2 linked regions of the Cricetulus griseus genome follow. The protein of the gene in region 2 purifies or fractionates together with the protein of the main gene of each other region. This does not show direct contact. Links are inferred from orthologs where the notes say so. Each region holds a gene or a part of one and is shown on either strand. Other genes may lie near its edges.

Region 1 (4,856 bases), about 250 Mb from region 2:
TCAGGAATTATCCCCTGGTGATGCTAACGGGCTGGGATGTCCACAATGAAGTCTCCAAGACATGAGAAAGCCAGCTCCTGCTGAGTAACATCTAAGTACCAACTCTGACATCCTGGATGGAGAAGGAGCTTGAGATTCCCTTCTCTTTCTGGGCATGAAGATGAAAGTGGTAATCCAACACAAGGACATCGAGGGCACAGTCTCATTGAGTGACATGGAGTGGGGTGTGCGCTCTGGCCAAGACTCCCAGACTCTTTCCTTCTCTGGACCTTTCTCTCGAGCTCTTACCAAGCACATCCTCCCTCCCCTAATCATTAGTCAAAATGATTTACCCAGGAGGTCAAGTCCCTCGTAATTCTGTGTCAGTTGGTTTGGCCAAAAGAATTGAGTTGCTAAACTCAAGGAGATACCCATCTGCTGGCCCTGCCCTGCTGCTATGCAGGTCGGCAGGCCTATGGGCAGCACACACGTGTTTGTACAGACTGAACTTGAACAATATGTCTCCTTTTTCTACATGTGACAGGAGGCCTTTCTGATCTAACAGTGGGTTTCTTCCTCATCCTGCATACTTACAGAGCATGAGGAGAAAGTAAGCCAGCCAAGAAGCCATGAAAATAGGCTAGCTTAGCAGTGGCCACAGGCAGGCGCCTTCCCAGACTCGCTGGAGTTCCCAGGTCTTCAGGGCTGTTTTGGAGTTCAGAACCTGTGCTAACTAAAACCCAGTTGTGTACTCAGACACAATTGCTTCCCCAGCAGAGGGACCTATAATAATACTCACCACAGAGTGGGCATTTGAACTTTGTGGGTGACCTGCAAGAAGAGTAAGCCATGGTGACAGTTAGACAATTACAGTGGTGTTCGTGCATACCATCTACTTGTCAGATCAGTCAAGATGACTGGAACATACTGAGGAGAGTGTAAACTTTCTGCATCAATGCTTTTCTCTTTTACTGGGTTTTTTACACCTTCAATTAAATAATATTTTTTTGAGACAGAGTCTCACTATACAGATTAGGCTGGCCTTGAACTCACACAGGTTGCCTGCCTCTGCCTCCTCAATGCTGGGATTAAAGGTGTGTGCCACCATCCCTGGTGGCAATTAAAAATCCACTAGTTTCCTTTAAAAGTTATAGTGATTAGTTATCCTTCAACTAATGATTCTTAGAATTGCAGTGACATTGAGCTTAATCACGTGGTAAAAATCGAAGCCTCATCTGAGTGTGGAAGAGACAAATCCGACACCAGGCTGACAGTGATCAGTTTCCCCCAAAGCAGACCCTCTGTGTCCCAGTCACTCACCCATCTGTGCGCCTATCTTTTGACATGGTACGGTGAGGACTCTTAGCAGTCCATCTGGCTTGTAAGAGTAATGTTCCACCAGCTGCAAGGGAAGCAAGGAAGAAAGTGCTTAGTAGAGGGAGGGAAATGGAGACAGTGACAGAATCATGACTCTCACTGACTTTAAAGCCATTGAAACCCCAGACAGTCTCTTCCACAGGGCACCTGGGAGATGGGCTTCAGATGTCCTTGGGTAGAGCCAACAAATTTTTAGCCTTGAAGCAGTGGGTCATATCCATAATGAAGAATGGAGAGTGAATAGATACATGCTGTTTACTGCTTAGCTAACATTCACCACTCTTCTTTTTTTCTTTTTGGTTTTTCGAGACAGGGTTTCTCTGTGTAGCTTTGGAGCCTATCCTGGCACTTGCTCTGGAGACCGGGCTGGCCTCGAACTCACAGAGATCCGCCTGCCTCTGCCTCCTGAGTGCTGGGATTAAAGGCGTGCGCCACCACTCCAGGCACATCCGCCACTCTTACACAGACCAGGACTCCAACCCAGGGGCCAGTGCCTCCCACCACAGCCTAGGTCTTTCCACATCAATTAATGCGCTCAAAACAGTTCCCACTGACACGCTCATGCTCTAATCTGGTCTATACAATCCTTCATTGAGACTTTCTTCTCGGGTGTTTTAGTGTGTGTCAAATTGACCATTAAAACTAACCATCACACAGACAGATGGCGATATATTAGTGATCTGAAGTCTCCACCCCCATCTTCTAGTCCTTTGTTGGCTTGGTTGTTTGTTTGCTGAGATAGGATTTTGCTAGGTAGCCCAGGCTGGCCTCGAATTTACTATGTACCTGAGGCTGGCCTTCAACTTTTGGTCCATCACAGTAAGTGTAGCTATGATGCCAAATTAAGGAAGCAACATGTGCTTAGTAGTAATTGAGGGGATCTGGGTGAACAACGTTGGGTGCCTCTACACGCTTGAGTTGTCTCTAGGTTTAATGACAGCGAGGTTGAGAATGAACCCTTTGCAGAGCAGGCCTGCAGAGTTCCTAGACAGGCAGCTAGCTGCCTGGAGCCTAGAAAGAGTAGAGATGCTCCCCCCCTCAGTTGCTTTAACTTCCCATGGGGGCTCTGCTATGAGGGTAGTCCCCATATGGCTTATCCACCCTAGTGTCATCCGGGCATCTCACAGTTCCAGGACCAGCTGGGTCACAACCCCTAGGTTCTTTTCTTTGGTCATCTGTGATTATGTGTAATGCTATTCCCTGATGGCAGGACTTTCTGTTAAATTCCAGACACTGCCCTGAAACACATGATCTTGAGGCACCAAGAACTTAATAGCTCTAGATGGAAACTCTGCAGCCTCTCTGACTTGATGTTCTCAAACACGCCATTTAGAAATCAGAGAGTGGATGGGACAGATAGTCTCGTCCCTCCCCTTCTTTCTAAGAGTTTTGGAACTAGCAGCCACATGGGCCTGCATTGTGCCCTTCAGAGGGGAGAGAGAGAGAAAGACAGAGACAGAAAGACATACAGAGAAAGACAGAGAGACAGACAGACAGACAGACAGACAGACAGAGAAAGACAGAGAGACAGACAGACAGACAGACAGACAGACAGACAGACACACACACACACACACACACACACACACACACACACACACACACAGATATATACGCACCTGCCAGAGGGTGTCGAACTTCTTCCCCTCAGGGATGGAAAGCTTCCCTGTCTTGTCCCTGTCAATACGGTAGTGCAACACCTTCCCTTCGTGCAGCAGGCACAGTGCATAAGAGCCATTGTTGTCTCGAGCCCTGATCCTGTAGACAGAAGACACAGGATCACCCCCTACTCTGACCCTCTGGCCCAGGAAACAGTACCCTAGCCACAGTGGATCACAAGTGCTCACCAGAACCAGCAAGTGGGCACATGCTTGGCAGGCAGCACCCAAACCTCGAGGTCCCAGGAAGGCTCAGTACCAGAGCCAGTGAGCCAGCAACAGGCACAGGCTTTGGGTATCTATGAGGCCCCTAGGCTCATCTTCATTTTTGTTTTGTTTTTTGAGACAGGGTTTCTCTGTGTAGCCTTGACTGTTCTGGAACTCACTCTGTACACCAGGCTGGCCTCAAACTCACAGAGCTCCTCCTGCCTCCCGAGTGCTGGGATTAAAGGTATGAGCCAGTCTCACCTCCATTTTTAAACCACGGGTGCAGGTGTGGTTTGGTTGGGGAATTCAGTGGGCATTTTAACAAAACCTTCCAGAGCACACATGAAAGATTAGGAATGCTTCAACTCTCCATGTTCTTCTTCACTTTCTTACCCGTTCCCCAATACCAGGGCCAGGTTTAAAACACTATTTGATATTATCAGGTGGCATTGACATCCCAGGCCTGAGAAGGGAATGGTAGGCAATGGTAGCCGTGTGGGATGAGTCAACACAGACAGCCTGAGGTCCAGCAGGCATCTGCAGATGAACTGAAGACTCCAATTCACTAGGTGACAACACAGAAGCACCCTTGAACAGAGACACTTGAACAGCACAGTCCTCACACTACAGGAGGAAGCAGTGATTCAAAACCTTAGGCCCCAGAGAGGGTGTGTTCCAGGCTGACACAGCACCCGGGGGTGTGACTCTTCCAGTTTAAAGCCTCATTCTCCCCAGCCTTGCCGCCCTCCCCACTTTCAGGCAATTCACACCCCCTGATTATGAGATCTGGGGAAGTGTGAGGCCTCTGCATTTGCTAAATCAAGAAAGATTGAATCTCAGCATTCAGCAAGCAACACCCAAATGCTCTGAGCTTGAGAATAGCTTAGTCAGGCCCCAGCCGCCAGGAGGAGAAGGGTGTCTGCAAACGGGCACCATCTGTACTGCTTTCTCCGGGTACAAGATGTCAAGACCACAGCCACAGTTCAGACTGAACTGGGTCTTGGAACCGGATGTGACCACACTTCCCTTTCTCCTGCCATGTAGCCCACCTCTTGAAAGGGGGGGGGCGAGGGGAGGTTGTAACTTTAAAATGATTTTCTTTTGATATTGTGCTTGGTTGGCACAGTGGCCAGGGTTCCGTCCAAGCCCCTGCTTGAAGCTCAGGGCAGCTGGCAAGATACACAAGATACACCTGGTGGGAGATGCACAGCCAAAGCCTTCTTGGCCTTTGAGGATGGCTATTCTGAAATTTCACCACTATGGAAACAGCCCCTTCGTCCTACAGTGAGTCACCAGCACCCTGAGGTGCCAATTCCTTTCAGATGGTCATGTGGCTGATGAGAGCCTTGTCGGTTACTGGGCAATACCCAAACATGCAATAAAACACCATATATGGACAGAGAGCCCAGTCTGTTCTCTGGTGAAGCCATGCACAATGTGTGCTAGCTCTATTTTGTAGACACCAGCAGCTTGCAGAAAGGGTAATGTGTGTGCAAACATACATGTAAGGGGCTGGTTTATGTGGCTCAGGGGGTTAGAGCACTTGCTGTGAAAGCAAGCCAGACACAGCCATGTGTGTCTACAAGTGTTGGAGGGTAAAGACACGCAGACTTGGGAACTTTTGGGCTTACCAGA
Region 2 (3,920 bases):
ACAGTTGGAGACAGAGCAAAAGAGACTGCTCTGAGAACAAGGATGATAACTGCAGTAACAGAAGAAATGAATGAAGATTTACTTACAGTAAAAACTATTTCCATGTAGCTCTGAGCAAAACACAGAGGGTGCCTGTACTTCCTGTCATCAGCAGGTGTTCTTTGTAAAAGATTGCCTCAGTCTTCCTTATTGTAAATTGTTCTTTCTAGTACATTCCAAGCAAGTCCACTTTTTTTTTTTTATCAGAGAAAACATGTTCTATCCAGATTTTCAAAACTTTGGTGTATATACACATGTAAGATGTTATTTGTAAAAAGTGTCTGTGAATTGTATTCATTTCACAGGGCTGTTATTACCACAGACCACTACAATCTGACTCATTGACCCCCAGATCTAGATGCTTGAAGTCTGAAGCCAAGGTGTAAAGGGGCCGATGTTTCCTCTGAACCTGGAGGGGATCTGCCCTTGCCCTTGCTTGGCCTTTGCTGGTTTGGCAGCCATCGTTGGCATCCCTTGGTTTGTGAGTGCACAGTTCCAGTCTTCACATGGTGTCCTCCTCTGATGCCTCTTCTTTCTCGCTATGCATGACTGCACCTGTAGTCACAGCTCTTTCCCTCATAAGGAACATGTCAACAGGTCGCCTGATGGGTACCTTACTGACCCCATCTTAACTTGACTTTTTATCTGTAAGGCCTTAGACACAATTCAACCCATAATTTAGTAGTCATGAAACTGACATATAAAAACATGCCATGCTGTTTAACTAAAACCGGGTATGATGGTGCACACCTCTGATCCCAGCACTTGAAAGTCAGAGTCAGGTGGATCTCTGTGAGTTTGAGGTCATCCTGATCTACAGAAAAAGAGAGTTCCAGGATAGCCAGAGCTACGTAGTGAGACCCTGTCTCAAAAAGAAAAAAAAAAAAGTTTAACTAAGACATAACTGTCGTGCACCAGTGGTAGACAGCCTGGCTACATTCAGGTGCAGTGATTGCTGACAGGCCTAAACTCCCAGCAGCTTTGTTGCATCCGAGAGTATGATTTTCTCAGTTAAAAATACAGTGTTGTTTTCTTACATGACTGAAAATGCATTACACCTGTTTCTTTTAAATACATTTATTTGGAGAATATTAGTAGCGTAATAACTGAACTTCCCCAGCTATCACTTCATCAGGTCAGGCACTAGAAAAGTTGATGTGAGCATCTTATGAAGGAGTGAAGTTTACCACCTCAGTGGCTTCATTCATCTTCTCTGCTATTGCTGATGATTCAGATACAGAATATGAAGTTTTCTCAAAAGAAGAAATGGAGGAAATGTCTAAAACAGTGGGATCGATGTCTCTTTCTTTATGAAACTTTCACAGCATATTTCAGTCTTGTAGAATCCTTTGTGTTATTCTGACTGTCAATAAGAACCAGGGGGTTGTGCTGATGGTTCTGGATGATGTCCACAACACTTCCAAAGTACTAGGGAAGGAAAAATGGGTGAATTAACATCTGTTTATGTTACCTCCATGCTCCTCTCCTCTCCTCTCCTCTCCTCTCCTCTCCTCTCCTCTCCTCTCCTTTCCTCTCCTCTCTTTCTCAAGGTGTTCACAGTTACCAGGTCTCAGTTGATATTCTGCTCAGAAGTGTCCATCTAGTTTAACAAAGACTGGAGCCTGCAGGGTGGTAGGTTCTGGACCTTCCTGTATTTAGTAGGACCAAAGCCCCATGGATAGCTTCAATTAGAATACCTACTTAGTCAAGTTACCTCACTGATTAGGATGTAATTTTTTTTTAATGTCTTGCTAAATGAGTTTAAACATTTGCTTCTGAGTTGGGTGTGTTAGAGCACCCTTGATCCCAGCACTCTGGAGGCAGAGACAGGATGAGCCCAGAGTGAAATCCAGAACAGCCACAAAGAAACCCTGTCTCAAAAATAATTAAAAACCAGTTTTTATTGTCAAACATGAAACTGCCATGTGATAGGCTTCTCTATATCCCTCACAAAACACAAATTTGATGTGGGATGTCCTTCTGTATGCTGTTAAGATGTATTGCTTTTATTGGTTGATGAATAAAACTGTTTTGGCCAATGGCCAGGTAGAATATAGCTAGGCAGGAAACCCAAACAGAGTTACAGAGATAAAGAAGGCCAAGTCAGGGAGATGCCATGTAGCCGCTGGGGAAGCAAGGTGTGAGGTAACAAGTCACGAGCCTCATGGTAAAATATAGAACATAGAAATGGGTTGATTTATATGTAGAGCTAGCCAGTAAGAAGCCTGAGCCATCAGACAAGCAATTATAATTAATATTAAGCTTTAGAGTGGTTATTTGGGAACTGGTGGGCAGGATGAGAAAAGCTTCCAACTACACAAGTTATTTGTAATTTTGCACGAGTCTTGACAATCTCCCAAAGGCCCAATTGCTAAAAGCAATGGTTCTCAACCTTCTCAATGCTGCAAACCTTTATACAGATCCTCATGTTGTGGGGACCTCCCCAACCATAAAACTGTTGTTGCCACTTCATAACTGTAATTTTGCTACTGTTATGAATTACAATGTCAAAATCGGATATATGCAACCCCTGTGAAAGTGTTGTTTACCCCCAAAAGGGTTGCGACCCACAGGTTGGGAACCAGCATACTAAAGGCAAGGTAACCACAGTGCCACTATTATGCTAGTGGAAACTTTAAGTAACAGGCCTCATTGGAAGTCTTTACTTCATTCTGGATGTGCCCTTGAGGGCATTGTGGGACACCAGTCACTCCTTCTTCTTGTGAGTAATTTCACTCTTCCATGATGTACTGACTTAACCATGGGGTCCAAAAGAGTAAGGCCAATCTATTACAGACTAAGACCTTCAAAACTGAGTCAATATAAACTTTTTATCTTTGTAAGTTGGTTATGTTAGGTATTTTTATTATAATGATGGAAGCCAACTGCAAAACAACTTATACAATAAATTACTCTTAGGATTCAGTACCAGGAAAACTGATTTCCTAGCTACATTTATTATTTTGTTTTCTTTTCTGAACAAGAAAGGAGAGCTTTGGGGCTGGAGAGATGGCTCAGAGGTTAAGAGCACTGACTGCTCTTCCAGAGGTCCTGAGTTCAATTCCCAGCAACCACATGGTGGCTCACAACCATCCGTTATGAGATCTGGTGCCCTCTTCTGGTGTGCAGATATACATGGAAGCAGAATGTTGTATACATAATAAATAAATAAAATCTTTTTAAAAAGAAAGGGGAGCTTTATGAATCCTCTTATTTCTGTCTATACTTGGCTGCTGCTTGTAAACTTAGAGCCAACTTGATGACAAAGCAATACTGAAGCTTTATGCCCTACTCCTACCATACACATTAATCTTTCTATATTTGAACCTCCCATGTCTGTAAGTCTTGATTTAAGGATGTCAGAAAGTTTGTTTTGAAAAATGATCAAAGTTTTAAATGAAAGATTAAATAAATATAATACAATATATAATTATTAATATAAATATAATTAAAATAAATATAATAATTAAATAAATATAAATAAATTAAATAAATATAATAATTAAATAAATATAATAAAATGCATTAAGTATACAAAAATTCACACTCATCAAGTAGGTACATTTATGATTTTTAAAATAATAGGTCTGCAATACTTCTATGGTTTATGGAACTAGTATCCATTGACTTTATTGTGTCCCTTAACTTCTTCAGTACAGATAACCATCTGGTACAAAGCAATTTAGAAGTTTCATTGATTGTTTGGAGGACTAAGGATGCACGGATCAAGATTCACAGGACTAGGCTCAATATAGATTAATATAATTTCTTTTCGGGGAGAAGGCACCAACACAAGAAACAGATGACTGCCACAAGTTCCTGCTCCAGGGATCCACCCAGGCTGCTCTCTGTGACCCGACTGGAAAGAAGAAAGAGAGCTG

The links. The genes of interacting proteins can lie anywhere in the genome.
Region 1: the proteins of Blnk (region 2) and Syk purify together in Homo sapiens (affinity purification with western blotting; 3 studies listed by BioGRID and IntAct, with this or other methods). This does not show direct contact. The link is inferred for Cricetulus griseus from reciprocal best matches to the Homo sapiens genes BLNK and SYK.

What each region holds. Positions count from the first base shown.
Region 1 is NC_048596.1:271,551,525-271,556,380, reverse strand, and holds part of Syk (tyrosine-protein kinase SYK), read right to left. Parts: intron 3,115-4,856; coding exon 2,976-3,114; intron 1,382-2,975; coding exon 1,300-1,381; intron 811-1,299; coding exon 779-810; intron 1-778. UniProt on the Homo sapiens protein: Non-receptor tyrosine kinase which mediates signal transduction downstream of a variety of transmembrane receptors including classical immunoreceptors like the B-cell receptor (BCR).
Region 2 is NC_048596.1:20,642,122-20,646,041, reverse strand, and holds the end of Blnk (B-cell linker protein), read right to left. Parts: intron 1,468-3,920; coding exon 1,348-1,467; 3' UTR 1,101-1,347; downstream 1-1,100. UniProt on the Homo sapiens protein: Functions as a central linker protein, downstream of the B-cell receptor (BCR), bridging the SYK kinase to a multitude of signaling pathways and regulating biological outcomes of B-cell function and development.